Linked DNA regions of Caenorhabditis elegans. The protein of the gene in region 1 binds, or shares a complex with, the protein of each later gene. Each region holds a gene or a part of one and is shown on either strand. Other genes may lie near its edges.

Evidence for each region.
Region 2: dph-1 (region 1) and dph-3 share a complex: the UniProt entries of both Caenorhabditis elegans proteins name them as parts of the 2-(3-amino-3-carboxypropyl)histidine synthase complex.

What each region holds. Positions count from the first base shown.
Region 1 is NC_003281.10:3,692,159-3,708,603, forward strand, and holds the start of dph-1 (2-(3-amino-3-carboxypropyl)histidine synthase subunit 1), read left to right. Parts: upstream 1-14,727; 5' UTR 14,728-14,728; coding exon 14,729-14,809; intron 14,810-15,161; coding exon 15,162-15,518; intron 15,519-16,157; coding exon 16,158-16,445. Other genes in the region: cyn-9 (Peptidyl-prolyl cis-trans isomerase 9), read right to left, coding at 5,738-5,785, 5,836-5,973, 6,239-6,562, 6,960-7,163, 7,209-7,336, 7,388-7,475; pdi-1 (Protein disulfide-isomerase 1), read right to left, coding at 7,694-7,870, 7,921-8,727, 8,778-9,161, 9,208-9,297; C14B1.2 (Conserved plasma membrane protein), read left to right, coding at 10,169-10,267, 10,312-10,428, 10,483-10,614, 10,664-10,912; C14B1.3 (F-box domain-containing protein), read left to right, coding at 11,498-11,562, 11,614-11,881, 11,930-12,057, 12,105-12,798; WD repeat-containing protein wdr-5.1, read left to right, coding at 13,129-13,242, 13,306-13,563, 13,610-14,267, 14,319-14,419. UniProt on the Caenorhabditis elegans protein: Catalyzes the first step of diphthamide biosynthesis, a post-translational modification of histidine which occurs in elongation factor 2.
Region 2 is NC_003282.8:9,698,103-9,714,065, forward strand, and holds dph-3 (Diphthamide biosynthesis protein 3), read left to right. Parts: upstream 1-9,044; 5' UTR 9,045-9,056; coding exon 9,057-9,163; intron 9,164-9,422; coding exon 9,423-9,558; 3' UTR 9,559-9,662; downstream 9,663-15,963. Other genes in the region: dcaf-1 (DDB1- and CUL4-associated factor homolog 1), read right to left, coding at 1-154, 1,900-2,310, 2,370-2,537, 2,583-2,900, 2,987-3,115, 3,610-3,868, 3,915-4,056, 4,098-4,290 and 14 more; ant-1.3 (ADP/ATP translocase), read right to left, coding at 10,115-10,484, 10,529-11,090, 11,147-11,156; nhr-38 (Nuclear receptor domain-containing protein), read left to right, coding at 12,128-12,201, 12,740-12,900, 12,948-13,022, 13,067-13,209, 13,400-13,549, 13,592-13,699, 13,747-13,823, 13,870-14,054 and 1 more; K01H12.4 (Breast cancer type 2 susceptibility protein homolog), read left to right, coding at 15,118-15,253, 15,551-15,680, 15,725-15,829, 15,874-15,925. UniProt on the Caenorhabditis elegans protein: Required for the first step of diphthamide biosynthesis, a post-translational modification of histidine which occurs in elongation factor 2.

The DNA.
Region 1 (16,445 bases):
AAGCTATTTTTATACGCGGAATTTAAATTTCACGATAATTTTTCAACAAAAATTTTAATTTGGAACCAAAACTTGTTGGAAAATATCCGAATTTTTAAATTCGCGCCAAATTGTTCAAAAAATAAATTCTATTTTTTAATTTTGCACATCTATTTAATCTAATCTAATGGTAATCTAGATATCTATGTAAAAATATAAATTTAAATTTCGCGCCTAAGATTTTGGGAAAAAAAATTGAAAATTGAATTTTTGGAAAAATAGTCAAAGTAGGAATTTGGAAGGAAATAGTGCCAAAAATTATTTGATCAATTTTTAAAGGTAATAAATTAATTTTTGAACAGGTCTTGAAGCGAAAATAAAGCCCATTTAGACTCCACCCATAATATCTCACTTCAGAAATTTATTTTTCAAAAAGTTCTGAAAAAAATCAGTGGGAGGCTTGACGTGTTTGTTCCCAAAAAAAAATGTTTCTTGTCCACATTCATTTTTGATGAGTTCCAATGGACAAAAACAAAGAAATTCTGGAATTAAATTTCATCGCTTCAATAGTTTTCTAAAATATTCTAATTCAGAATTTAAAAAAATGTAACACAAACATTTGGTTCAAAAATTGAAAAGAGCCAATCTTCTGGACTCTAAAATGATCACACATCTTCCGGTGGAATCTTCTTTTAATCGTGCAAATTTAAATGTTGAAAGAGAGACAGAAAAGGGAGAGTTAATGTAATTTTATGCGACACACTCGGAACATTCTGGAAAACGTTTTCCAATTTTGAAGAGTGATGGTAAAACATAAATTTTAAGGTTTCAGCTAGATGATAGCAAAACAATTTGAACTGCGAAGTTATGTAAAAAATTGTATTCTACATTTTTGTAGTTGCCAAATTTTTGATATCATTAAAGATGGACGAGATATACCGTATATTTTCTATTAGTGCTGCATCTCCAGTAGTACTGCAGTCTCTAATAGTGCTGCATTCAAAAAGGGTCCAAAAAATAGTGCTGCAGTCTCTATTAGTGCTGCACCCCATTTTCTATTGAAAGAGTCACTTGACTGTTTCGATATTTTTGGGTATTTTTTTTGTATATTTTTGATGATTTTTTGATAATTTACGAAATTAATTGAATTATTGGGTCTTTTTGTTACAAAAGTTCGCAATTTTTATGAATTTCTGCTTAAAAAAAAGAGCTTTTGTGACTAAAAACTAGTGATCTATAATTGAAAATAGCCGTTCGAAAATTAATGCTGCAGTCTCCAGTAGTACTGCAGTCTCTAATAGTGCTTCATTTAAAAAGGGCCTGGAAATTAGTGCTACATGCAGCACTAATAGAGAATATACGGTATAAGGAAAAATCGGGGGAAATTTTTTTTAAATTTTTTGGAGGAGGGGCGGTGTCAAATGTGTATTTTTGTCAAAACTGAAATTCTTTTTTAGAACTATACTACTGCAAAAATGATATTTAATTATGTTTTTAGTTTATTTGAAATATAATTTTTTAAATTTTTTTTAAATTCAGCTCTTAAAAAAATCTCAAAGTTTCGCGTATGGCTAACATCTTAATGAATTTTTTATTAGTTTTTAAAAAGTATGTTACCTTTTAAAATAACAATCTTGAAACACAAAGTCCATGCAAAAAACATAAAAAATCTGCGAGTGAAATTGAGAAGAAAATTAGATTTCAAAAGCATAAACGGATATAAATTCAGAGACCACTTGTTTAATTTTATTTTTGCAATTGGAGTTCTCACAATCTGGTTTATTACTGGAAATTAGATCGGGTCAGGTGCAAATTTGGAGTACTGTAGTCCTTGTGAAAAGAAGGAAAATGGGATTATTTAGTTCAAGGAAAGGATTTTTAAATTCTGTTTTAATTCTGTTTTCAAGCCAAGAAAACACAGCGTTCGTATTACCCAGACGAAAAATACGACACCCGGTCTCGACAAGACAAAATTGTTAAATGAAAAAAGGTTTGCGCCTTTAAAGAGTACTGTAGTTCCAGTTTGAATAGATTTTTATTTAAGAAAGTATATTTGTTTATTGAAAACCAAGCAGAATAAAACAATCAAAAATACATTTTAAAAAAATTTTAAAAATCGATAAGAATTCGGCAGCAACAAAAGAAATTTGGAGAGTACAGTATTCTTTACAGGCGCACATCCCTTTCTAGATATGTATAACACAATTTTGTCGTGTCGAGACCGACCATATTTTTCGTGCAAAAATCGCAAAATTTCGGGTCTGCATAATAATTAAAAGCGTAAGAAACATTACATATCCTTGAAAAAAATAACTAGTTTTACATGAAAAATTCATTTTTCACTATTTTGAGATTAATTGAAGTTCGCAACAACAAAAAATCCACCCACCTTGCCATATTTCTCAAGTGAAACACCAAATGATGCACCAAGAGCTGTTCGAGAGAAAAAAAAAACAGGAAAAAGGCGCGAGAGCCGGATGTCAACAATGAGATTATTGCGCCAAGAAGGTGCTATCGAATCAGAAAAAGCTGAAAAAAACTGCTGAAAAACACTCAAGAATGATATAGAGAAACAAGTCTTGAGGGGAAAGAAGAGGAACCTTGATAGTTCAGTCTGAAAAAAAAACAAGTGCTCGGGGGAGGATTCGAGGAAAAGCGGGAGTCTAGAGAGCAATGGACTCAGTTTTGAGATTTAATTGAGAGGCTTCCACTTTAATTCCTGAAAACGAGGCAAAAAAATTGATTTTTATTCGATTTCATGCACGCTTTTTCAGACATTTGTCGTGAAATGCGTTTTTTTTTTGCTAAAACTGATGTAAGAATATTTCGATCGTGTCGAGACCAATAGTCGCAACACTTGCCGAAAAAGGCCGCCTACTTCTCATGTGTTTTGTTAGTTTAATCCGATTTTCAATATTATTTTTTGTGCTTTGATTTCAGATATTTCTAATATTACATTAGCGACTCAAACAACTAATCTAAGCGCAAAAGCGCTCCAAGGCAAAATGAAAACGCTCCTCCCACAACAGCTGGGTCTCGTTAGGTATTGGCGGCAAAACCGTAAATTCAGACTTTTTCAATTATTTTCACCGATTTCAAAGCCAAAGTGAATTATTGAAAATTAATGTAGAAAAAGTTCTCTTTTCAATAATTTTTGTATGAAAAACGGGAATAAATGTTCAAAAATGCTAGAAAACCGGTGAAAACCATTGAAAAAATTCAAACTAACGACTTTACCGCCAATACCCAACGAGACCCAAATTACGGTAGCCGGAGCATTTTCATTTGTCCGTGGAGCGCGTCTGCACTTTGTTTCAGTTTTCTGCGTCTCTACAATATGTATAATATCTATAGTTTTTTATGTCACAGAAAGAGGATTTTGGAACATAGCCGTGAAAATAATGGTGGCCGAGTTTTTTTTCTTCTCGCGGCCATTCCTAGGCTTTAGGCCACACGGCCTCCACCACGAGAAATGCGCAGAGAGAGCGCAGAGAAAAAGGCGGTCTCTGCGTCTCTCACCTCCACAGCATGGCGAGAGTGCGCGCTCAACCACCTCACTTAGAAGGAGTCGGGAAGAAAGGAAAATGCATATTTCTGAAAAGAAACAATTGGAACGGATGCAGAGTACTGTCCTCTACAGTCTGGCATAAATTTCACAGAATAGTTTTGTCATTGAAATAAGTGAAGAGAGTGAACATAATATTACACATTCCCCTCTAAAACGAGCAAGTTTAAGATTTTTTCCCAAATTTTTTTTGTAAAATGTATTCAATATATTCCCAATTAATGAGTTAATACAAAAAAACCCCAATAAATAAGTTATGAGAGAAACTTTTTTTGACATCAAACATTTACAGCTCAAAATTTCAGCACTTTCCGGAAGCTAGTGACCGTAAAATGAAAGATTTCAAAAATCGGAAAAAATACGATTGTTCTAATTTTTAATACGCACATTTTGACATATCACACATGAAAATTGGTCAATGTTGAAAATATGTTTTTTGATCTAGAAGATTGACTACAGTACTAAAATGACCAAATTTTCAGGTTTTTCGCAATTTTCAGGAAATTCTTGGCTTGGACTGAAAAATCGGAAAAAATACGATTGTAATAATTTTTAATACGCACAAATTGACATATCACACATAAAAATTGGTCAATGTTGAAAATATGTTTTTTGATCTAGAAGGTTGGGTGGCGACTACAGTACCCGCTCTACTGCGCCCTCACACTTTGGATGCTCCTATCTCCGCTTCTATGAAAGTTACAAAAAAGTTGTCAACTAACAAAATGTTCAGTTTGACATTGTGAACATTTTTTCTGTTGACAATATTTTTCTAACTAGTAAGACAGATAATATAGACCCCAAAAGTCGTACTTATGAGAAAATCAGAGATCAGTTCATAACTCAAAAAATAAAGACTTTAGAAGAAAGTAGTCAACTGCAAATGTGTTAGATATCTTATATAGAGTATTTTCCCAATAAAAAAACCAATTTTAATGTTTAGGATTTTTTGATATGGCCGGTTTAAGATGATCACTTTTCAAAAGTCAAAATCTCCATTATTTTTGTAGATAGAAATGTAGTTTTTGCTGGTAAATGTTGTTTTTTATCTGCTTAACATTTTCTCAGTTGAAAATATTTTTGTATCTTCAGCGAGGACAGAGATTTGATGGTTTTAAGAGAGGGTACTGTAACTGGGACTTCATTCATCAAATCATAGCTGTATCTTTTTAGTGGAACGAGATATCAAAAAATTGTCAACTAAGAAATGTTCACCTATTTGTGATGTTCATTTTGTCAGTTCACCGCTAGTTTCTATCTCCAACGCGAAAAAAGTTGTAGCTGTTCAAAGTCCATAAAGTACATACACTTCACCACGAGAAGAGCGAGAATCAACCCGAAGCCACAGTCGTACATATTTTCTTTATTTAAACCGTTCAAATACACTCATCGTATCATATTTAACAATTTTCAATCTAAAAAAGTGCTCTTCTGTCCATAATTCTTCTAATTCCATCTAATTCTTGCTAAAAACCACTGAAAAACAGCTCGTATTAACTATTTATTGTAAGTTCCGCCTTCCCATTTTATCAACTTCACTATTTCTGTGAAAAAAATTCAAAATTTCGTTCAAAAATAGCGATTCTAGCTCAATTTCATGAATATCTGTTGAAAGCGGCGGCGAGGCAAGGTGGTCGTCCGCAAACGCGCAAACAAAAAGCGAGAGAGTGTGCGCATTTCTCGTGGTGGAGGCCGTGAGGCCAAGAATAACGCTAGAAATTTCCAGAAAACGTACCTGAAAACAGAAAAAAACCTTTTTTTTAGTTTTCTAAACTCAAAAAATATTTTTTGTAAGAAAGTTGAAAAAAAAAGTTCAACCAATTTTCGAAAAAAATAAAGAAACTCCAAACAAAACCAGTGGGAGTACCGGAATCAAATCAAGCATAACGATTTTTTAGTCTTTGTTCTCTCTTTTCGAAGCTTCTCGAGTAGGAGGAGTTGTCTCTGAGCCCCCGACAAAAGAATATGCCAGGTTCTCACAAATTATTCAACGAGTGAGGTGAGAGAGAGAGAGATCAAAGGTATCCGTGTCAGGTACAAATCTGAGAAGAGAAACCGGAAGACTGCCACAAGAAATGCGTGTTTTCCGTTGTTTCTTCTTCTATTTATAAAAATAATAAACTAAAAAATTTGTATTGCACCGAGCTGGAAATAAAAACAACGAATTAATTAAATTAATTTTAAAAAAAAGATTTAAACGAGATCTTCTTCTGGATGTTTGTGGCTGTCGTGAACCCATTTCTGAAACAAAAATTCAATTTAAAAATTATAATTATTCAGATTTAAAATACCGTCGGCGCATTTCTTCTCCAGTGCTCCGGAGTCGCAGATCTTTCGCGTCGGAAGCGTACTCCTCCACGCCCACGTACAGTAATTCCGTTTTCATCTCTGCGAGGTTGGCTTCGCGAAGAATCTCCTCGATTTTCTTTCTGAAAAAATCTAGTTTAAGAAATTAAGAAATTTAACTTTAAAATAGTTTCAAAAAATCGGGAATTAATTTTGGTGGAAAATGGAGAAATGACAGGAAGATGCTAAAAATTAGATTTCTCCAATCAAGTAAACTTTTTTTTTTGCAAATTTTTTCCATTAAAAATCGAAAAATCAGCGAAATTCAATTCTTGATCGATTGATTCGAAAATATTTGGTTCTTTTCGTGGCGAGACCTGGAACCGAATTTTTCATTACAAAATAAACCTTATAGTCGCGATTCTTCTCATGAGATCTAGATCTTGATCTTCTCGATCGATACTCTCTTCTCTTATCATTTCTCATTTCATGCTTCTTCTCATTGTCATCATCACGATAGAGCCAAGATTTCGGGCATTTCGGGATCTCATTGTCCCTTGCGTTATTATTTTTCTCTTCGAGAGCAGCGGCGAGCTCTTCATCTGTCTTCAATGGTTTCTTCTTTTTCACGAGTTCTCCACAATTGGAGATCAAAACTTTTGCGAGTGGTTTCGATTTATCATCAACCGCAAGATTGTCGATGTAATCTACAACGTTTTGTCCTTTGACAACCTGGAATTCAATTTATTTTAACATTAAAGTATAAAAGTATCGTAATTTCAACAGATTTTGACTTAAAGGCGCACGGCTTTAAAGAGATGGGTCTCGGCGTGCTAAAAATTTATAGTAGTTGGTTTTTTTGTTCATTTTTCTGTTATTTTGAAATCGTTTTAAATCGGTTTTCCCTGTAAAAATGATTTTATGAACAAAACATTACTTTTTATTTTAAAACTGAAAAACAATTTTTAACAAAGTGAAAACAGACGCAAAACTTCAAAAATGACTACCATAAACTGTCTTTCGCGCCGAGACCCATCTGAATAAATCTCTGCGCCTTTATGTTAGAATCTCGTGAAATCATGATTTTATAATTATAAAATTAATATATTCTTTAAAATCCATTATGCACCTCTCCAAAAACAACATGTTTTCCATTGCAATGTGGAGCTGCAGCCGTTGTGATGAAAAATTGAGAAGAATTTGAATTTGGTCCTTTATTGGCCATTGACAACAAATAGGGCCTTGAGTGCTTTAATTTGAACTTTTCATCGTCAAAGTATCGTCCGTAGATCGAGAATCCTCCTCTACCATCTCCTTCTGTGATGTCTCCTCCCTAAATCGTCAATTTTTCAAAAATTTCAGCTAAAAACCGCCGGACCTGGATCATAAACTTCTTTACAATTCTATGAAATTCGTTTTGTTTGTAATGAAGCCGTGCTTTATTATTTGGAGTCATTCCGACTTCTCCTGTGCACAATGCTCGAAAGTTTTCACATGTTTTAGGTGCTGAAAAATAATTGATTTTTTTTAAATTAATTTTCTGGGCAGATTTCTAACCATCTTCGACAAAAAGTCGTATTTCAATTCTTCCAATCAGATTCTCATCGACTGAAATATCTAGGAACACTCTTTTTTCAGCGGCCATTCGCAGCCTGAAAATGGTTTTGGTTTCGATTCGAAATTTTAAATTCCGAAATAAAGAAATATAATTTCACAGAAGCCTCAACGAAACAAAAAACATTCTCCGGGATTCAATTTTTAGGGTTTTATATATATAATATATACGGATGGAAACAAAAAAAAACGAGTAATCACAATTCAACGCCGTGACTTCAAACAATAAATAACATATATATTATTAATTTAAAGCTCTTCGTGATCCTGAGATGCGGTTTCAGATTCGGAAGCAGATCCAGCATACTTGTTGACAAATTCTTCGAACTTCTCGAGGTTTCTGTCTCCATCATAGTCGACTGGGGTAGAAGATCCGGCTGGCCACAGCTTCAGGGTTGGGAAAGAGTTGACCTTGACGTCGGCAAGCTGAAAATGGAAATAATAATTATGAATATTGATACTTTCAAAATTCTTACCTCGTTGAGAGTAGCATCAAGCTTTGCAATGACAACATTTGGGTTGGACTCGTACTTCTCAGCAAGCTCATCCCAAACTGGAACCAGTTGCTTGCAATGTCCGCACCATGGGGCGTAGAATTTGACGAAGACAGTCTTGGTTTCATCAAGGGCAATTTCGTTGAAGTTGGAGGCGACGAGAACCTTAACTGGGAGTGCATTCCAATCTTCTGGAAGATCTTGAGCCTTCAAGTCTTGAGCAGACTTTCCTTCCAAATATGAGTTGGTGAAAGCTTCGAAATCTTCTCCTTCTTGTGGCTTGAACTTCTCAACTTGATCGGCAAGGCTGACAATTCTGTTGGCTGGGGTGTTCTTGGCATCGACTCCGAGGAACTCGAGAATTCTTGCGTTCTCTTCAACATCAACGTCGAGAAGAACAAAGACGATCTTAGCACGGAACTTCTTAGCGACCTCAGTGAACTTGGCAATAGTCTCATCGAAAGAAGAGTCTGACTTGCGGATGATCAAAAAGTGGAACTTTTTGAGGTCTCCTCCGACGATTTCTTGAGCAGATTCGTGGGTGAACTCGGTCACGGCAGAGAGCTTGTAAGCGTGGAGCCATTGCTTAAGAGCGATGGTGTTGGTGATTTCAGCTTCAGCAATTGTGCTAGTCTCGCTGTCGTCTCCATCAGTGCGGATAAGAGCGACTCCATCTTCATTCAAAGATGCGGCAGCAGCAACCTCAGCAGAACCGGCAACGGCGAAGAATGCGTCATCGACAGAATCAGCAACTTCGTTGTAGATGGTAGCAGCATCAGATTTCGCGTCCTGAAAAATAAATAAATTAAATAGGTTGTACTTTTTATGTAAAAAAATACCTTGAAGTATCCAAGAACAACAACTCTGGTCTTTCCCTTCAATTCCTCGAGTTGCTCAACTGACTCAACAGTGGTAACAGTTGGTCCACTCTTCTTCTTGACCCAATCGACAATTTGAGCGGTGGCGCGTCCTCCGGTGTATTTCGTTGGCTTTCCACTCTTGAAGTAGAGGATAGTTGGATATCCACGGACCTCGAACTTGGATGCAAGAGCTTGGTTTTCGGTGGCGTCAACCTTGGCGAGCTTGATATCGGATCCTTCCTCCTTCAGCAAATCGGCGGCTTCGTCGTACTTTGGAGCAAGAGACTTGCAATGTACACACCATGGAGCATAGAATTTGACTAGAACAAACTCATTTCCATTGATAGTTTCTTCGAAATTGCTCTGAAAACAGTTTTTTAGAAGATAATGATCAGAATAAATGTTATACTTCAGTGAGAACAAGCACGTTTTCGCTGTCAGCAACAACTGCTCCGATTGATGCGACCAGGAGGAAGATAAAGGACACTGACAGTGACATAATTACCTGAAAATTTAAAAAAATAGTAATAGAAAATTTGAGGAAGTTATCATTGAAGAGAAAAGAGGTATAGACAACGATAAGTGTGCAAACAATACGTTAGCCATTACTTTGCGATCAAAAAAGTAGGGTATGAGTATTGACAAACGCAGTCAATTTTTCTTTTAAAAAATCCTCGTCGTTCACAACCTGCTAGGAAGAGTGCGAGCGACGAGAAGAGAAGGAGAATAAGCGCACGTTGTAAAACAGAGTAACGAGAGAAAGAGAAGAGACCGTGAACGCCCCGGCAGAGACAACGAGGACCGCGAAACTGCAAGACGAATGGACAGTGCAGTATTGACACGTCAGCATACGCGTGTACGGGAGATGTCCACGTGGACGTCACCGTGGCGACCTTTATGACTTATTGAGATGAGAGTTCGCGCATTTAATGGAAAATTAATTGTGTTCTAAACCTTAAAACAGTGAGAAAATGAACAAAACACATCGAACTGAAAGTTTGTGCAACTACAATGCTAAAGGAACGTCGACGGCCCGGAAATGAGAGTCTATTCGAATATAATTATGCTTATCTTCAACTTAAAATTATTCTGAACCCAAAAAATTTATTCGGAATGGGCAAGTTTATCAAAAAAGTTGTTTTTGGAACTAAAATTAGCTCAAAAAATGACTTTAAAAACTGGGTCAAATAATCACTCTTTTAAAGACGCACCGGATTTAAAGATATGGTCTCGAAGCGCTGTATACAGTGTAGTCCGAGTGGACAATCAAATACTTGTTTCAATGATTTCTAATTTCATTTTTTTTTGGAAATTCTTTTTTCTTTCGTGATTTTGTCACATACATATTACATTATATTCAGGTTTCCGCTATGAAAATCCCACTAATCCTGTTGCTGGTTGTTTCAATTCAATGTTTCTATGTGAGAAACCAGACTGAAGACTCGATGGCAGAAGGATTACGTTCGAAGGTGGGCTCAAAATGAGGATATATCAAAACACATAAATATTAAAGGATAATAGTATCGAATTGTTCGGTCAACGCGTGGAGGTGCCGTCGTGGTTGAATACGGCAGCTGAGAAAACAAGAGGAATGTTTGACTCTGTGACAGGTCTTTTCGGAAAGAGTACAGTAAGTATATAACATCGACGGTGGGAGGGGTCATATTGACACAACCGTTTTTAGGCCACGTCGCGCAGATCGTCGGACGGCTTGATGACAAATCTGAAGAAGGATGAGGCGACAAGGATTTGGTTTGCAGTCTATCTCAACATCATTCTCGTTGCTCTGATTTACGTTTTCATCACGATTAAGCTGGTAAAAAATGATTACACTAAAGATTAAAGCTAGATAATTGAATTTTTAGGCACTCATGTCACTGAGCGAAGGAAAAACTGAGCGCAAGAAACGGAACACCTTCAGTTCACACGTTGCCTACGATTCCCCCGACTATAATGTCCCATTGACCAGTATTGCAACAAGAGAGATTCCAAGAGGTCCCGTTCAAGATGAAGATTTCGAGATGGCTTTGGAAGTCCGAGAGGATGAGCAAATCGCCATTCCGAACCCTGATCTCCGCAGTGATTTATCCACGGAATTTGATGATAATCACTAGTTCTAATTCATGTTCAAAATTTTTGTAAATAGCATCACTAATCTATTCCAATTTGACAGGTTCCTATTGCACGAGTATTTCTTCATAAACACGGTTATTCGTTTTTTTTTCCTTTTTAGAAACACAAATCTGAAGAACATGAATTGCTTGACCTTGGTATTGGCGGCGATAACCTAGAAAGTGGGACAAGTTATTTCTTGCTGTCCACGTATCTTTGGATAAGGAAGATCATCAATGTTTCGTAACCTGTAAAACTAAGAGAAGAGAAAGACAAATATATATCAACTAATCTAAAAAGTTGCAGTCAGCAAGATGAGGAAAAAAATAAAATATATAAAGAAGTTGAATATCTAGAGGTTCTCAATATTTTTGTCAGAAAGTTTTTTTCTCATTCTCAAAATAGCATTGAATATTTTCTTATTAATATTTTTGCTTTAAAATAATAATATTAACAGCGTGATAGTTTTTTGGAACACGAATATCACATGCATGCGCATTTCGCAAGACTTCCATTCTCTGCGTCTCTCTCCTTCTGACTCATTTCTTCTCTTTAAAATCGAAAAATATTGTTCTCATCGACCCCAAATGTTTAAAGCGTTCTCATCGATAATGCAAAGTCTACAGTTCAAAACCGATGTTCCAGTGATAATGTGAGTTTTTTCTTAATTAAAATATCAATTTTTCACCTAGAATTATTTCAGAGATGCAGAAACTGTGCCGAACGAATGTTTCTCGCCAATTTTCCGAAGGCTGGACAAAAAATCACTTCTAAACTGCCAATTGGCTTGCCATCGATTCAATGATTTGATATCAAGTGACTCGTTTTGGATTGAATATGCTCGAATTTTAAATATATCAAATGTTCTTCCATCTTTGGAGTGGAGAAGAGCAGCGACACAGAAGAAGTTTGTTGGAAATGAAGACAATGAAATTGACACTTCAAGTTTTAATTTTAATATTAAAAAAATAGTAGGTTATCGCATTTTATAGTAATAAAATTACAAAGTTTTACTTCAGGTTCTGTCTGGAAGAGGCTACTCACCAATCACTCCGCTTTTCATTTCTCATTTTGAAAATGCACGTGACAACACAATAAGTGGAACTCTCCGTTCAGATGATTTTTCAATCAGAGCGAATGGCAGTGGGTATGTCAATACTTTGTTCTTAAAATAATCAATATTTACAATTTCAGAATCCACATGGAAAGAGATGGAGGAAACGGTTGTGAACCACATCCGGATGTTTCCAAGTGCTTCGTATTTTCATTCACAGAGAGCTCAATCAGTGTTTTCATCGATTTGGTGAACTCTGGAATTGACCCATGGATCTTGGATCACGTTCGCCCGAGAATTAGAATTACACAGAAAGTCAATCATCGTAATGATTGTGCAGCCAGGCTCTCATTTGCTGCTCAGTTGAACTATCACGAGACTCAGTGGATTGAAAGATTTGGCCATGTACAAACTATGAGCAACACTGATCATAAAAGATATAAATCTGTAAATAAGGAATGGGCTCAATGGACTGGTCAACCTTGGGAAGATTGGACAATTGAGTTTGACGATTACCCGTCTGGAATTCGACATTTAACTATTCTGAATGAAGGTGAAGATAGACAATTTTGGAGAGGATTCTACGGACCAAAAGTTGCCAATATTCAAGTCGAAGTTATTCTGCCTGATGAGCCAATAGTTAAACCACTCGCTGTTGATTCCGAAAAATGCAATGAAGACGAGAATCCTAACGCTGAAGACGAGGATGATGACGATGATGAAGTACCGCCAAGAGTCGGAGTTTTTAGAATGCCACTCTTTCGTCGTGGTCGTCACATGTATGGAATTCCTCCCGCTGTGGCTCGTCATGAAGATGAAGACGAGGAAGATTAAATAATGCACCGACAATTTTTCGCTTAACTGTTTTATAAAGTGTTTGTATGACTGGAAAAGTTTGTTATATCTGTAATCGAATGAATATATAAATATTTTAACACGTATCAGACACGGATACATGTCATGACATGAGTTCATTAACGAAAAAAAAGAAATTCCGAAAAAAAAACTGCAAAAACATTGCGCGTCAAATTGTGTGTTCGCTGTGCATGCACCCTTGCCTCTGCGTACCGCACATTGCATCTTACGACGATTTCTATTTTATATTTTTTGAATGAATTTCTTCATTTTTCAACTTAATTTTTGATTTTTGCTGTGATTTCAGATATGGATACCAGCGAAAATGCTGCTTCAGCTGCCGAGCAACAGCCAACACAACAAATCGATCAATTAACAGTACCAAATGCTCCGGATGGAGGTTCTTCAGCTCCTGCTCCATCTGTAGGTTTCGTTATTGTTAAATAGTATATTTTTGAATAAGACTTCACAATAGTCAATTTCCAGACTTCTCCCAATTCAATTTCGCCATCAAATCCGACTGGCACACCCGCTCCAGGTGCCAGTGCCCAAACTCCCAATCCAAACGCCGCCGGAGCTTCAGCCTCGGGTTCAGCAAATTATAAGCTGATGTGTACATTGGAAGGACACACAAAATCGATTTCTTCAGCTAAATTTTCCCCATGTGGAAAGTATCTCGGAACAAGCAGCGCGGACAAAACCGTCAAAATCTGGAACATGGATCACATGATTTGTGAGCGAACTGTATGTTTCCGCTCATGAAAATTACAATTAATCCTTAAATTTTCAGCTCACCGGCCACAAACTGGGTGTAAACGATATAGCATGGAGTTCCGACAGCCGTTGTGTTGTCTCTGCTTCCGACGACAAAACACTGAAAATCTTCGAAATTGTAACGTCGAGAATGACCAAAACCTTGAAAGGACACAATAACTACGTCTTCTGCTGCAATTTCAACCCACAATCATCGCTCGTTGTCTCCGGATCATTCGATGAATCCGTTCGTATCTGGGATGTCAAGACAGGAATGTGCATAAAAACCCTCCCAGCACACTCAGATCCAGTGTCAGCAGTGTCTTTCAACAGAGACGGCAGCCTCATCGCATCGGGATCCTACGATGGTCTAGTTCGTATCTGGGACACTGCCAATGGGCAATGCATCAAGACTCTGGTCGACGACGAGAATCCTCCGGTGGCATTTGTAAAGTTCTCTCCAAACGGAAAATACATCCTCGCATCGAACCTCGACAGCACTTTGAAATTGTGGGATTTCTCGAAAGGAAAAACCCTGAAACAATACACTGGACACGAGAATAGCAAATATTGCATCTTCGCCAACTTCTCTGTTACCGGTGGAAAATGGATCATCAGTGGTTCCGAAGATTGTAAGATCTACATCTGGAATCTCCAGACTCGGGAAATAGTTCAATGTCTTGAAGGACACACACGTAAGTCGAAAAATAAAATAAAAATGCAAATTTAAATTTTTTCCATTTCAGAACCCGTGCTAGCCTCCGATTGTCATCCAGTTCAGAACATCATTGCCTCAGGAGCTCTCGAGCCAGACAACAAGATTCATATATGGCGCTCGGATGTTTAAATTGTTTAAATTTAATTAAAATTTCGAAAATTTGATTTATATTTACCCCTTGGTCACCGTGTATATATGCTTTTCCTTCTTGATCTCCTATATTCCTTGATTATAGAGGCGCGGTGGCCAGACACTTTTTTTTCTGAAACTTCGTATTTTCTGTCATTCCTTATATATTCTTCCTAATATAAAAATCCATAAATATTAATTTCCGTGGGATGATTGAGATGATCATTCAATTGATTCGTTTTATTTCGATATTCTATTTGATTTTCAGATTTAATTTTATTTTTCTGGATTGAGGCTGAAAATTTTAGAATGGCAACTCGGGCTACACAGATTTCGACGCTAGTTGAGGAAATTGCAAATAATCCCAATCTTAAAGAAGATCTGAAAATTGTAAGAAATCGCAGATTTTCTAAGTAAACGCCCCACCCCTGAACTATGGGTCTCTTTAGGTTAAGAAACCGAAAATCGAATTTTTCAATTATTCTTGCCCGATTTCAAAGCATTTTCAATTGGTTTTAATGATTTGATGTCAAAAAATAAATTTTTTCATAAATCTCGGCATAAAAATCATTAAAAACAACGAAAAATGCTTGAAAATCGGGGAAACTAACTGAAAACTTTTGAACATCCAGTTTTGCCGCCAAAAACCTAACGAGACCCATCGTTAGCCCGTTTCCACGTGGATTTCAAAAGGGTTTTTTTTCTGCGTTTCTATAATATTCAACGAATGATAACGTTTCAGCTCCCCTCAAATTACACATTCGAAGTTCCAAAAACGATATGGAAAATTCGATCGACCGAGAGCAAATACGTTGCACTCCAATTTCCAGAAGGACTCATTATGTATGCCTGCGTAATTGCCGATATTCTGGAAAAGTACACTGGCTGTGATACAGTAATCATGGGTGACGTCACCTATGGAGCCTGCTGCGTCGACGATTACACTGCAAAATCAATGGGATGTGATCTATTAGTTCATTATGGGCACAGTTGTCTCGTACCGATTCAGAATACTGATGGTATTGCGATGCTTTATGTGTTTGTGAATATTCACATTAATCTATCACATTTGATCGATTGTGTGAAGGAGAATTTTCAGGTACATAAGGAATAGAAACAATGGCCGTTGGAAACCCCTAACACGGTCCTTTGTCGATTTACGCAGCCCGTGTACTCCTCGAGGAGAATTTTACGCTTTTTGGACGGCTGAAATGCATGATTTTGGGCCATTTTCGTCAATTTTTTGAAAATTGTTCAGTGTTTTATATTTAAATCAATATTGTCACTGTTGAAAATCTATAGGAATTGAAAATCGGTAGCTATTCAACCGTGAAAACGGAAATTTTCATCTAAAACACTATAAATATGCAACACATTAGCAGTTTTTAGATAAAATACAGTCATGTATTATTTTATTAATAATAATACAAGAAAACTGGCTAAAATAACTGTAATTCTTGAATTTTTGCCGAAAACTAAAATTCTTCTCCTCGTGGAGTACACGAGTTGCGTAAATCGACACACGATCGTTTTAGAGGTTTGGCGGCCACTAGTTCATTGTTAATATATTTTTCTAAATGTCGAAAGAACGAAAAATTGCTTTTTAAAAAATAGAAAAAGTAAAGGGTTCCCGAAATTTTTTCAAAAAATCGGAAAAACTAAAATTTTCGATTAAAATTGAAAACCGACACCCAATTTACAACCAATTCTTTTCCTTCTTCAAATCTCAAATTTTCAGGGAAAACGTCTTGTCGTCGTGAGTACTGTTCAATTCATCCCTTCACTTCAAACCCTTCGAACCACATTCAACAAAGATGACAGCTCAATTCGCATTGATATTCCACAATGTAAACCATTATCACCTGGAGAAGTTCTGGGATGTACGTCTCCACGATTGGATGCATCGAAATACGATGCAATTGTCTATCTTGGAGATGGACGATTTCATCTCGAATCAATTATGATTCATAATCCAGAAATTGAAGCATTCCAGTATGATCCTTATTCAAGAAAGTTGACACGAGAG
Region 2 (15,963 bases), on another chromosome or scaffold:
CTGGAAGCTCTGCATCATTTTCACTACTGTTTAGGCGTTGACGACGGCGTTGAGCTTGACGTCTGATAATCCGATTCTGTGCATTTTCAAAGTCCAAATCGTCTAGTGTATCATTGTCATCCACGCTACTTCCACTGTCACTTTCATCGCCAAGCTGAAATCATTATAATTCGCAAAATTTTTTTCTCCAAATTACTGATATTACATAAAAGGTTAAATATTCTAAATATAGGTAAAAACTGTGTGATTGCCATTTTTTGACTGTACATAAAGAATTAAGATGAGTTTTTGACAAGTTGTTGTTGACATTTACTATGATATTTTATAATTTTATCACTGGTTCCTAGAGACAGGCAACATGCGTGAATTCTCTATATCTATACTTGTTACTGAAACTAAATGATATTGCAAATATCCAAAAAGAATGAAGCAAGACTTTCATGGAAGAAGAGGAAGAAGATGGAAAAACTAATTGAAAGCATAGTGCATATTCTCCGCCCAAAATTTGAAGAGTGATCAAAGCAAAATGATCACTCTCGAAGCAAAATGCAACGTTGCTCTATCTGGAACAAAAGCAAATTCCTCGGAGAAAATGTTTTCTTCAAGAACGAAAACGCTTCAAATGTGATCGATCTAGAAGAAATGAGACCAAAAGCAAATTCTAATCTGAAATCAATGAAACTCCAGAGAACACTGCTTTTGAAATCAAAGAATTACTGGTCTGAAAGCAAAAAAGATTCAGTTTCTTGAATTATCTGGTCAGACAAACACAATGTGTCTGACTGTTCGATCATTTAGTTTTTATTTTCTGCCGGATTAGTTCTAATTTATGTTCCGCTTCTGACTTCTTCTGACCAGGTTCTGCTTTTGATAAGAAAGTGACACACTACTCTCTGCTTCCTGTTAATCTGAAATGCTTTTCGTGAGATCTTTGCTTTTGTCTCGCTCAAAAGTGACTGATCACATTTGAAGCAGTTACATAATCAAAACAGAACTCTGTCAAAAGCATTATTTCTGTTGAAGAAAAGAAGAAAAAGCAGAAAGCAAAAGTGATCTTACATCAGTCAGAACACATCAAACACAGATGTGTTTGCTTTAAATGTGATCAGTCGCAAATAAAGCAATCATGAAGCAAAGATAATTTCTGCAGGTAAAGAATGTTCTGAAATCAGAAACTGGTGTGTCGCATTTCTTTCAAGATCAGAACGTGATCAGAAGACAATCAGAACGAACAGAACACATCAGTTGGAAGTTTTACTTGATGTGTCGCTTCTAAATGTGATAAACGTATTTGCAGAACAGAAATTCCACTGAAAAAAAGTGATGTTACATTTTTAGTGTGGTCATTCGGCACGGAAGAAAACATCAAGCAAAAGGAAACTGAACAAACAAACCAGGAAGAGAAGTGATGTTACTCTTTTTTCAATAGAACACTAAAACTCGTATACCCAAATAAAGTTAATATGGGATACTGTAGAAGTAGTTTAGAATTATTAGTTTCAAAAAAAAATTCCGTATGGATGTCGGACTACTGTAGGATTACTGTAGTTTTTAGTTAGTGAAATTTTTAATGTGTTTCAGTGCTGGGCGCGTAAATTAGTCCTACTGTAGGATTAATGTAGTGATCAACAAAAACATGGATTTTTTAAAGAAAGTTTTAAAAATTCAAAAAAAAGGTGCAGATGATTTTTTGGGTAGTTTCAGAAAAGATATTATGAAATTTTCTAAATTTTTCTAAATATGTTTACCCAAAACATTTAAATTTTTTTTCCAATTTTGAAGTTTGTTCAGAATGATAATTCCAATGTTCAAAGGAAAATGTGGAATGGTTTTTTTTTGTATTTTCCGACTGACCGTACTCCACCTTTGAGAAAATTTTGAAAAAAAAACTAAACTTACTCTTCCTAAAGTTCGAAACACGGATTCTCGATCTGAACTATTTCCTCCAATCTCTTCATCATCATCTCCATCTCCAGATTCATCCGAATCTTCGTCTTCATCGTGATCCTCTCTCTGTTCATCTTCCTCTTCGTCATTCTCATCTTCATTATCCTTCAATCGTCCAATTTCAACTATTTTCAGTTGTGTAGATGCTTGTATCATGTAATCCGACATTTGTGGACGCACTTTCTCAATCACACACATTTTCTGATCTTGATGTGATGCGCATAGATCAATGACAGGTCGTCGTCCTTCGAAAGTTGTCAGAGCAGAATAGTCACGGGTCTCGAACGTTCGGAATGACGAGAAGATCTTTTCATCATAGTCTGGACAATGAACGTCTGTAACTTCAGTGGCGTACATGATATTCTGAAAATGTTGAAATTATTAATATTTATAAAATACCATTAATTATAATAAAAACATACACCAGTGGAATTAAATGAAACTTGACAACGATTGAGCTCAGGAACATGGTGAAGCATCCGGAATGTACGAATATCATAAACTTCAGAATTTATAACAATCTGTGTTCCATGAGGATGGAATGTTCCGAATAATGTTATTTTGGAGAGACGATCAAATACATGGATCGCCTGAAATTTGATATTTTAAATTTAATTTAAAAGTCTTCTCCCTACCGAATTCTTCTTTCTGACATCCCAGAGAAGTCCATCATTGAAGATTAGCTTGTCATCAGGCGAAAACGAAGCGTAATTTTTCTCGTACTGTAGTCCATCTATTCCAGAGAGATACGTGTCCAAAACATGATTTGTTTCAGTGTCATAGACAGTTGCCTTATCTCTACACGTTCCGACAATTCTTTGCATCGTTGTGTTAGCAAATTTAACACAAGAATCTTCACGATAAGTATGAACTCGTTGTAAAGCTTCTCCGAGTCTCCAAAGAGCGGATAGTGGACGAGAGAATGCTGAAGACGTGAGCATCATTGAACCATCCTGGAATTTGGAAAACTTTTATTTATTTATTTCAGTTTTAGAAATAAATGTTTCAATTGTATAGAGAATATTTTTTGTAGCCATACCTTCGAAGGTTCAATATTCGTCAGAGCACTTCCATGGCAATTGGTGTGTCCTTCATCCAATCCAGTATCCACGTTTATCCAATGAACTTCTCCATTGAATAAACCAACGATAAGATGTTCATCGTCGACCTAAATTATTTTATTAAACAATTTTTTTCAATTTTGATTTTAAATTTTTCCTTTATGAAATTTTAGAATTACTCTTTGAAAAATACATTGGAGAGCGACAATTAATTTCGGTAATTCTAAAAAATTAGTTACCTATTGTGTCATGCTGTTTCAAAATTTGTTATTGAAAATAAGTGTCAAAATAGAGAAAATCAGTTAGTTCATTTGAAAATAAAATTTATTTCAGTTGAAATATCTGAGTAAATGCACAAAAATGGTCTAAAAGTCGCTAAATGCCTAAAAACGAAGCTCGATAATTTGTAATTTGCATCTTTCAGGTAATTTTTAACTAAATTTTCAAATGTTTCAACTAAAATAAATTTTATTTATACATATAAATCGATTTTCTTTTTTTTTAAACTATTTTCTAATAGAAGCTGTTGGAACAACATGTTGTAACATGTCATTTTATAGAATTGGAGAAAATAACCACATCTGATTTATATATTTCTCACCGAAAATGTGGCTTTCGTATACGATTCATCGTGATCATGTATAGTTTTCCAGTTCCTGAATCTTGAGAAAATAGTTCTTTCATTTGTCCACTGTGAATAAACTCTTTCATGAGGTCTAAGAAGTTCTTGATCGAGTGTTCGAAGAGAAATATTTCTCACAACATTCGTTTGATACGACAATTCGGGACATTTGTGTTGGTAAAATAATGAAAATGGAGGACACGTTGTCACTGGATTCTTACATGTTGAATGTTGGTTTCTGAAAAATGAAAATGAATTCGAAGAATAATTAATAATTCTGAAACCTGAAATAATCAGTAACAATACTGTTTAGATCTTTAATTGGTCGATATCCACTTGAACTTTCTCCTGGAGTCAGAGGTCTCAGTTTTTGACGTGCAGGACTGATCATCAACTTCTTTGGAAAAGCACCACTGGTTGTATATCCTTAATATAAAATTTAGTTGAATCTTCAAATGAAATCTCACTTCTAGGTAAAGTTGGTGTGGCGAAAACATCGTCATCTGTTGAATGAGAACGTGTAGCCATTGCGGGAGATGACAGTGAAGCTGCGTTTGAGGGCCGTCTTGCTGAAATTCCACCAATTTCCGATTCAAGCGTCCTTGGAGCCAATGTTGGATAAGTGTCGTTTATTTTTGAAAAATTATTTCCGCTGCTGGGCTGAAAAAAGGTTGGAAAATGATTGTTTTTCTGTCACGATTCAATTCTCACAATAAATATTAACTTACCAATGGCTTATTGAGAATCGGAGTATTGATTGACCGACTTGCTGGACGATCAGGAAGCTTTGCTTCAGATTTCAGCATTGCTGCTACTGAATCTAACTTGCTTTTCAACAAGTGATCATGAATTAATTGAAGAAGTTCTGCTTGATTGAAGCTCACTTGTGTATTTTCGATGACCCATTGACGGTGACTCTTTTCCTGAAAACCCTCATTTATTTATATAAGAACGTTGTTAAAGAATTAGAAAAAACCGAACCGACGATTGAATTTCTTTTCCTTGTTGATCATGAATTTTTCTTCCATAAATGACCTGAAGAAGTTGAACTGCTTCTTTGCAGAATGCTGCATGAATATCTCGCTTGTCAGAACACACTGGTTCTCGCATTAAATCTGAAAAAAAAAGAATTAAACTTGATTTTTTGAAATCTGTGGAGATTTTTCGTTGTTCGCTTTTTTAGTTTTTTTGGCAAAAAATTAGTTGTTCATCTTTTTTATTCAAAAAAATACACTCAACATTATAGCAATATGGTAATTCCGATAAACATTTTCGTTTTTTAATAATAATAAGATCCTTTTTGGCATTTTTGGCTTCGAAAAAAATTCGAATTCAGCCCTACACATCCCCAGGGCTGAAGAATTTTTTTTTGAGCGAAAATGTATTTTTGGTAATGTTCGAAAGAAGGTTAGCAAAAAATTCGAAATATTTTGTTAGCCTGGCGCTGACAGAAAAACTTGTTAATTATTATATTTCCACTCAAAAAAAATACTCGAACTTATAAAACATGGCAATTTCGATCAACAGTTCTCTTTTTTAACGTTTTTTTGTGTTTTTGAAAAACATGTAATTTCTTTGCATGTTTCGTTAAAACTAACTCTGTAGTCCATTATGAGCTATCAACGGTAATTTTGCAAGAATCTGTCGAACTTCCGGATGCCTTGCCAGTCCCGTTAATGTGTTAGTTGCCGTTTTTCGGATAGAATCCGCTTCTGTCAGTGGAATTTTGCAGTTAATCAAGTTGACGAGTGCCATAATTCCATCAGTTTTTCGAACTTCTGTCCACATTCGTTCAAGATGATTCATGATTATTTCATATTTCGATTGTCTTTTCGACGCGGAGCTTGACTTTTCCTCTGAACTTTTGACTCTTTGAATAATAGCTTTCCAGCATTCTGGTTCCACATAAACACAACGTTGAATACATCCCAATGCTGCCATTCTCAGAGATGGATCCTCATCGTATCGTCCAAGAGATGTTTGAAGAAGAATTGTGAAACCATCATAATTCGAGTGATTATAGGAATGTTGAGTGATAAGTTCAGTTTGAATTGATGGAAGGCAAAACATCATGCACAATGTTTCCAATGCGTGTACACACATTTCGGTGCGGAGACTGCAACAAAATTATCTCATTTATTCAGAAAGGGAGTAGAGTTTTTATTTCGGATTTTTTTTTGAAAGTTTCATTAGGGAATTAGGTCACTTCGGGGAAGTAATTAGCCTATTCCGAAACCGTTAATTTCAAAAAGTTACCTTGGAGAAATGTTTTCCCAATCTCTTGATAACACTCTAACCGCCAAAAACATTCGAACCATTCCTAGTTTTCTTAAATTTTCAGCCTCTCTGAATGAACTTCCGGTGAATCGAAGCATTTCCGTAACAATGGCTTCGCACTGCCAACAAACTTCTTCATACGGCTTCATGCTCTGAAATAAATTTTTATAAAATCAATGATATCTTAATAAATACATACTTTATAATCTGGACAATCTCCTTGTACAAGTTCTGGAAATCGCATTCCAGTTGGTAAGTTATTTCCGTATAGCTTTTTATAGTTTTCCACTTTGATGAAAATGTGAGCGGTGAGGTAACTAAAATGATTTAAAATTAGTTAAAAATAATTTTTATCATGTAGAAAACCTTCTGAAAGTGGTACAAACTCCTCTTGTACACTGTGTACTTGTATGTATTTGTTCTTCGGTGAGTTCGACATCTTCATTGTTTTGCATTAGTGTCAGGGTTGCAATCTGAATTACAATATGAGTTATGGTTGTATTATTTATTCACTTTTTTGAAACTTATGAGAAACATACATAATTATGCAGCTTCCGTGGACCATCATATTGATCAAATCTTCTTAAAATAGCCTTGTAGAACAATCCTTGAGAAAAGAACATACATGCACTGGCCATTCCACTTTCATGACTGTGTTCCAAGCACCACAGAACATACCTTAAAAAATAATTTAGTCTTCATAAAGAAAATTTGGTTCGCATTTCAAAAAATGTATTTATAAGTTTAATTTTTAATTTAACAAGTAACTTTACACATCAATCCGAAGACTATGACTTCTCAAAAATTGTTTGGAGTACGAAATATGTTCATATACAAAGAAAAAGGACGAGCCCATGTTTCATGTGGCATGATCACCTGAATGATTTCTGTGATTTAATGCATTTTCTCTTCTTTAGGCTATAGGAGTATTATATTTTCAATTATTAGGTTTATTGTTATTCAAAAAAAACTTGAGGTTGTAAATGTTCAATATACATTTCACTCACTGTACAGTCTCATCCACAATCTCATCGCTCATTTGACATAAAATCTCCATGACATCATTACTGTATGCAATGTAATACAGACATGTAACAACTCCAACTGAAGCCAATGATGTTTTTGGAACTTTCAAAAGAGCCGGTATTCCTCCTTTGTTGACGAATTCCAAGGCGAATTTACGATGTACCAATAGAGAAGTGAGATATTTTAAAGCATCAAAGGTTAAACGGACATCTTTTGATTTTTCGAGATCAATGTAGTCGAACAAGATTTCCAATGCATTTCCTTCAAAAGTTTGAAGGAGGAGCTGAAAATATTTAATATATCTTATCAAGAACTATTGAAATATCACAAAACAATTTAAATTGAAAAATTAATATAAAAATATATAACTAACATCCTGATATTCTCCACATGCAGCCAAATATTGTAGAATAAACCGTTGATATGTAGCTAAACTAAGTGGATATACTTGTTGATCTCCAATTAGAAATGGTTGAAGAATATCCCATTTACTGTTTGAATCATCCAAATTTCGAAGATTATGAAATGATGGAACTCGCTGAGTAATTTCCGTTCGAAGAAGAGATGTCAGGCAAGGCTGAAAATGATTCTGATTGTGAAAAAAGATACAAAAATTTGCAGAGAAAATGACTGAAATCTACCTCAGTTCTTCGCTTTTTCGGTGGTGGTGGATCTGTTGATTGTACAAAGGTTTTCTCATTCTCTTTTGTAGAACCATCAACAGAAGTGATTTTGATTGAAGGAATTGAAGTTCCGTTACTTGTACTTTGTTCAGCATGCAGTTGGGAGAAACTAAAAAAAATAATAATTTGATAAATATAATAATTTGATAAATACAATTTGATAAATACTATTAATAGTTGAAAAAACTCACTCAGTCTGTCCAATTTTCTTCTGTTCTTCCAAAGAGCGACCCTGAAATAATTATAATAACATTTTCAAGACCTATTTAATACTTTAAAAATTCATACCTGTAATTCATGGAGTCGCCGAAGTCCAAATGGGACTAATAGAGCATTTTCATTTCGATATTTACTCGCATTTTCAGTATTTTCCAATGCAGCAGCTAGAAGTCCCATTGCATAACCTTGTAAAGTCTCATTTGTTCCTTCTGATCCTGCCCATGTGTATAGGCGAGGAATGAAATCGTCTGGTTCTGAGAAAACTACTTTTGAATCGAGACCAGGAATACAGGCTAACAGAAGTCGACTTCCTTGAATATTCAATTCTACGTTGTCTCTGGCAAGAATATACGACACAACAAGCTGAAATAAAAATACATTGATATGAATTAACTATCTATTTATTCCCTCACTTTTGTCATGAAATCATCGTTTTTGAATATAATTTTCAAAATGTTGCCGAGTGCAGAATCTGGATGAGTCCTGTGAGGATGACGATCATCCAAAGGATCCGGGTCGTTTTTAATGAAAATGTCTGTAGCTTGTTCCAACAATTCAGAAATTCTGAAATGATTTATTTAATTTATGAATAATTGTTCTCTATTCTTAACCTTTTAAGTATCGGTATCGGATCAAACGACGATTGTTCATGATTTGCATCAAACTCCAATAGTAATTCAGCTATTCGAAGCATTAATTGCGTGCTCAGCTTCAAATCTTGATCGGATATCATCATCATTGTTCCTGTCGATCGGAGCGGATAAATCTCCTTGCTCGTCATGACGGCTGAAAATACTTAATTGATTTTGTGATTTTTTAACGCAAAATAATCAATTTAAAATTATGCAACAAGAAATTGGATTTGCAATTCAATCTCCAAAAGAAAAATAACATTTTTGTTGAAATGTCGAAAATCCGAAATTAGTCGAATATGTGAAGAAGGGTACGGTACGCAACGGTGTTTGCGGACCAGTCCAACGACGACGACAACTTGCGTACAGCTTGTGATTTATTTTTATTTTATTTTATTTGCGAAATACTTTTTTATCATTTTTAAGAATATAATAGGTTGTTAGAAAATTATTTGTTGTAATTAGAAACAATTGTTCAAATTGATTTGCGAAAAAAAATTATCGCCCAACCTCTCTCGCCCCTTGTTTCACTTTATAATTTCCTTTTTTTTTGCAATAAACTAATGAATTTTTTCTGGGTAACACAACAATGTCAGTTTTCCACGACGAAGTCGAAATTGAGGATTTTGAGTTTGACGAGGAGAAAGACGTGTACCACTATCCATGCCCTTGTGGCGATCGATTTGAAATCCCTAGGTAAGTTTTGAATACTGTAAAAAATCAAACCGTTCTGCAAAGTAGTTCTCATGTTTAAAACAATTGTCATTTTCGAAAATCTCTAATTGTTAGAAATCTCGAATTAATTGTAAGTGGCTCAACTCGGGTATTTTAATTCATGCTTGAAATCGGATTTTATTTCAATCTATTTATCTTACTTCCTAGTTGAAAAATCATATTTCCATTGTAATAAAAAGCTATTTATTCCGTATATAGTCCAACTTCACTTTTTTTTCAGAGAAATGCTTGAAATGGGAGAAGATGTAGCACAATGTCCCAGCTGCTCCCTTCTCATTCGTGTTATCTACGATCCTGAAGATTTCGTCAAACTGGAGACCATCTCGACAAGCAAGCCAATCGCGGAACCCGTCTAAATATTTTTAATTTTTGTGAATATTAGTTATTAGAGTTTCTGTGAAATTCTTTTTCTTCCGTGATTTATTGATACGGGTTTCGCGAGTAAATCTTCCGTGATATGTTGTTCCGAATTAGCATTCCAGAAAAGTTGAAATTTACAGAAGTGAAAAAAAACCGCAATTTTTCTTGAAGACAAATAATGTTGAATTTGGAAAGACACAGCTTTAGACCATATCAATTTGCTGAATCACACTAATAGTATTTATAAAAAGAGCTTTTAGGTTTAAAATGATTGTGACTATGTGACGAAACGGCCAAGAGGAGATAAGAGGATCTCTCTAGAAAAAGGAAGCTTGAGGATTTTGTTTGCAAAATGATGCGATTCTAACTAGAACTCAGTTGATTCATTGAAGTTACCTTGTTAAATTGCATGAGAATGTTCGATACTGAAAATGCTAAAGAAAAATATTTTCTGAATGAAGAGATTGAGACGCTGTGTTTAGTTTGTTGAGTAACAAATAGAAGATTTCAATTAAAATAATTTTACTAAAATTACAAAAACAATTCAAGACTTTAAATGAACTTCTGGATTTCATCGTAGATGGCCAGAACGAGTGCTCCACCAGTTCCACGGAACACATTCGACAGAGCTCCCTTGAACATGGCAGACATTCCTTCGTTTTTGATGATCTTGACAGCACAATCCAAGGTATTCTTGTAGAGAACATCTTTGCGACCAGACTGCATCATCATGCGACGGCGAACAGTATCCCATGGATAGGAAATGATTCCAGATCCGACGGTGACGACTTGAGCAATAGCCCAGGCGGCGAAGAAGTTGAGTTTCTTGCCATCAGCAGTGAATACCATCTTGGCAGTGTCGAACATTCCGAAGTAAGCGGCACGGTAGATGATGATACCTTGTACAGAAACAAAGAATCCTCTGAAAATTAATGTTTGCTTATATTATAAAAATGGAAAAAATACCTGTAGAGTCCGATTGGACCATCCGATTTTGCAATCTTGACGAGACAATCAGCCAGACCTTTGAATTCACGTTCATTAGCTTTTCCGACGTCAGCAGCCAAGCGGGTACGAGCGAAATCCAATGGGTAGACGAAGCAGAGAGAAGTTGCTCCGGCAGCTCCACCAGAAGCGAGATTCCCGGCGAAGAACTTCCAAAAATCCTTCTTCTTGTCCAATCCCTTTTGGAAAATGTTTTTGTATGTATCCTTGAATGCGAAGTTCAGCGCCTGGGTTGGGAAGTATCGGATGACATTGGCCAAGTTTCCTCTCCAGAGAGCAGCATATCCTTGCTCTTTCGGGACACGAACGAGGACATCGACGATTCCTTTGTAACGTTTATCGGCGGCGATAGTTAGGGAAGCATCCTGTACTTGCAAAAGAAGCTTGACACGTTCAATCGGAGCCACAGCAGTCTTGGAGACAGCGGCAGCAGTTCCTCCCGAGGCGAGATCAATCAAGAATTTTCGGGTATCGAAACCTTTCTTATCCTCCTTCTTCTTTTCAATAGGCTTTGAATCTCCTCCTGAAAGAATACAAATATTAAATTAAAACCAGAAATATCGATTAAGATTTACTTACCTCCAGTCATGCTTGCAGTAGTGCTGCTGGATATCCAAGCGGTTGAAAACCGGAACTGATTCTAAAGTGAGCCCTTCGATTAAAAATCGACAGTGAAACGTGGCAAAAGCGCTTCTTTAACCGAGGTCACGTGAATAATGCAAAATGCTACTCCAAAACTCATATTTCTGTTTTTCACGTTCTCGTAAATATATTTTCACGTTTTTAAACATATTTTTAAAAGCATAAAAGATTATTTAAAAATATTCTTTTTTTTTAATATCGCGTATAAATTGCTTGATTTCACTGTGAAAGTGTTCTAAAAGAAAAAGAAACAGAAAAATCAAAGAATTCCGCAACGGAGCGGGTTACTGTAGCATTCAAACGCGCACTCTTTCCTTGCTCGAAATTTAGACCCACGGGTTTGAAAAATTTTGTTCATGTGGAATCGAGGTGAAAATCCCAAAATTAGCGGAAAGAAATTATTTTTGTTTTCATTTGAATATGTGAATTATTTTCGGATGCACCTCTTTTAATTGCGAAGTCATCAATAAGTTGAGCATTCTAATGATATTTTCAACATGAAACAGGTGACAAAACACTGTTATCATACAAAAATAGATTAACTTCCTTCTTCTAGCCTTATCCTCTTAAAACATATGTTTATCGTTTCGTCACATAATCGCAATCATTTTAAACCAAAAAGCTTCTTCATACTAGACAACTTCATTAGTATGAATCAGCATCTGGTACGTATTGGGTCCAAATCTGTGTGTCATTCCAGTTTTAAAAAGTATTTTAAAACCTTCTTCACTCATCTTCAATCTGAAAACCCCTCCCAAAAAGCTTATCAGATGGAGATAAGAAGAGGAGGAGGCAACTGAACCTTGTTATCCAAGATTATCAGATGTAGTATAAAAATTTGTAGACTTATCTATTTCACTTCGAACTTTGAGCAAAATAAAGCAAATTTGAGCTTCTAAGTTATTGAGGTGACCTTACATGAGTCTATACTGTTCAAGCTTTGATAATCAGTGTTACTGGATGATGGATGACAGTCAAGTAGTGTGGAACAGGTAGGTCTATGTGTTTTTATCAGAAATTGGAATTAGGATTTTGTTTGAGTTTTGTAATAGTTTTAGTTATTTTCAGTGGTTATTCCACAAGGAAAAGCGTCGATGAAAAGAGAAATGAAAATATAATTAGAAAAATAACACAAATATGTATGTTTAGATGGTTTTAATATCGAATAGTTTTATGATATTTTTTTTGCAAAGTGATATTATATTTCCAACAATATGACATTGATTACAAGCTGATTGCAATAAAATCTGGAAAGAGCATCAGTTTCAAAAATTTACATTTGAAAAAAAGGTTTAATTCAATTTTAAAATGGGTCAAAAAGCCTGCCGGTTTGCAAACTTAGCCATGTAGGCAGGCTCTCACGGCTGAATCCAGTTGCTTTTGTTCACTCTATAACATATCTGTTCAATCTAATTCTCACATTCTATTCTTCATTTTACTCGGTATTTGCTTTAAAAATACACAAAAAAGAATTAAAATAGATTTTCAAAATCTCCACCTTCTAACCCTCAATTCATAATTTAATTCCAGCTCAGCACCTCAAGAGATGATCTGCTCAATTTGCTCGGATAAAGCCGAAGGATATCATTTTGGAGCAATAAGCTGTGCTGCATGTGGTGCATTCTTCCGACGCAGTGTTTCTGATCAAAAAGTATACTCATGTTCTAATAGACAATGTAGTATTGTACACGGTAATCTAAAGTTGAACAAAATATAAATGTAACAAAAAGAATTAAAGATCCAACAAAGAGAGGTGGAAGCTGCAGATTCTGCAGATTTTTGAAGTGTGTGAGCAGTGGAATGATGCCTCAAGGTAATTTATATATTCAAAATAATATCAAATTTTCAAATTTCCAGACGTAAAAGCCAAAAGAACTTCTTCATCACAACAAAATGTCACGTCTCTTTACCGAAATATGAATCAAAGTTCCATTCTACTAATCGATCAAATTATTGCTTTTCGCAGAAGTATTGCAGCTGAAAGGCCGATTTTCGATTTGGTACGTAGAGATTTGAAAGAATTGAGATTTTAAGGGTAAATAAGAGCTTAACTCATATTTACTAAGATTATGGAATAATCTTGAATAAATAACGGTTTATTCAATATTTGAAAAATCTGTTGTAAGTAGAATAAATCTAGGTATTCTCTTCTTCTCTCTACATTAATTTAAATTTTTCAATTAATTTCAGATTTCCCGATCAACAACTCGTACAAACTTGAAAATTTCTCTCCACCAAGAATACGAAATTATGCGAAGAATATCAACTGGATCTCCCTTGATCATGCAAGTTATCGAACATTTTTACGCACACTTTGGGAGCTTGGATAATAATTTCATGGTAATAATTTTCAACTAACTAATATGAAAATTAACTTTACAGAGCGACCCACTCGGTGACATATTCCTATTGGTTTTTGTCTTTGAAGCATGTGTTTTGACTGCTACAAAAGGTGGAATCCAACTAGATAGACTGTTTCTGCCAAATATGGTTTGTTTTATTAAAACAAAGACATAATTAAAAAATATATATCTTAGGTCCATATTGATTTGAGTGAGCAACCATTTTTGGAGTTTATGGAGTGTGAGCAACATGTCAATTTGAACCCATACAGGTATTATAACTTAATTCTGAAATAACTAAAAATGTGATATTTCCAGAAACATTCTGAATTCATTTAGTTTCCTTGTTCAATTGGTATCACGATCGTTTCAATCATGCAATTTCGATGAACCACTTTTATCCATTTTATTCTATAAATGCATAACGGAAGCAGTTCCAATCAATTTTCGACATTGTTTTGCTGATGTGAATCGGGATAGTCTTTTGACAGATTTGAACAGAGGTAACAATTTCTAAAAATATTTCAAACTAATTCAACAATTTATTTTCAGTAGATCCTGTTTCATTTGAACAAATCCAGAACACATCTGCCCAAATTCATCAAGGAACTCGGGCGTTCAAAGATGCAATCTCAAGCATTTTATAACTTGAATAAATCGATTTTTTTGAAGAAATGTTTCTAAAAATTAAACAGCTGATATGAACTTCTCAAAACTAAATTTGTACTTCTCAAAAGTAAATTTGTAAATAAAATTGTTTGATATCTTATATTTTGAAAATTCTGCACGATTGTTAGAATAACATCACTAAATTATAATTGGGATAACTTTTGATTTTGTCACAAAACCAACTGGGAAAGAGTATATTTCAAGCTCATCTCCATGTTTTCTTTTTTCTTAAATCTAAGTTTCAAAACATCTACAAGATAAAAAAATCATATAGTTCAAGTGCGGAAAATCTCAAAACTGGGGCTCCAGTTATCTGAAAAATTTCTGGCAAAACAAATTCTAAGAAATAAGCCGAACAAAGGAGCGTTTTCTAAAATTAATACCCCCCATCAATTCGATTTACTCTAAAAGCTTGATTCCTCATTATAATCTGTAGTACCAGAAAAATAATTTCAAATTTTTGTGACCAGTTAAGATGTTGTTTTTCAATTAATCTCCACCTTCTAATACTCTTTTTTATTCTACTCATAAATCCTCCATAAAGAGATCATCCTACTGATAAAAACAGATCACCGATATTAATTTTGATATATTATTTTTTTAATAGACTTTACAGTCAGATGCGAAATCTGATGGAATTAACAATTAACATAAAGTTGCGAAAAAATTTAGAGATTAAAAATTACCAATAAATTTTACAATGAACGTGGCATTGTTAAATTCAATATTTCCGTATTCTACTTTCTTATCGATAAAATTAATTCAAAACAAAACAAAATCAGTTTCAAAATTTCAAAGTTTACTTTGTCTGTCTCCATTCGCTGTCTTTAAAGGAGAAATATCGATCCAATGTAAGTCCGAAAATGGCCAGCGAAAAAGATCAAGTTGTTCAGAAAAATGGAATTCGGAGCGTCGTTTGCTTATAGAAGAATTGACGCCCACGTTGAAGCAACTCTTCAAGAAGCTGCTCAAGTTCTCGAAAAGTTGGTAATTGAAAGAGATGCCGAGTCGGCCATAACGGTCGCATCCCAAGGTAGCTGATTTTTGGTTATTTTCCAGTTTTCGATTGTTTTAAATTTGCAAGTGATATCTTTGTGTGAAATTACTTACAAGCAAGTACTACATACCGATAATCGTTCAGTTTCACGTACATATGAATAGGAGCATTATAAAATTGTTGATCTGCCTGCCATGCATTTCTTCGCGACAGAGAATTACATTGTAGAATAATTCGAAACAAAACCCAATGTGGTGAAATTAACAATTTTGAATAGCAATCATATATATTACATGCTTGAAATTTCCTTTATTTCCATCTAATTTGTTTCAGGAACTCCAGATGCAATAAGTATCACTCAAGCTGCTCATGAAACCATTTCAATTGATTCAATTCTTCGATCTTCGAAGCAACCAAAGGCTACCATTCGTACTCCACGTGACTCTAACAAGAATCGGAAATTGTAATATGAAATGTGGAAAAAATCATTTCAAAACTTATTTTTAGAACTTTCCCACCAGCCCGAATTGGTTTCAAATCCGAGCAATTGGAAACTTGTGATTCTGGAATAACTGATAGCACTATTGACCAAGATCCACCGACCCCGGACTCGTTTGTTAATTTCCTTTTTACCTGTTTCTAATTTAAATGTTTAGCTTGTTCCCAAGTGCCATCTACATTCCGGCAAAGCAGAAGCCTCAAATGACCGTAAGATTACTTTTAAGAGCTATCAATAAATTAATTAT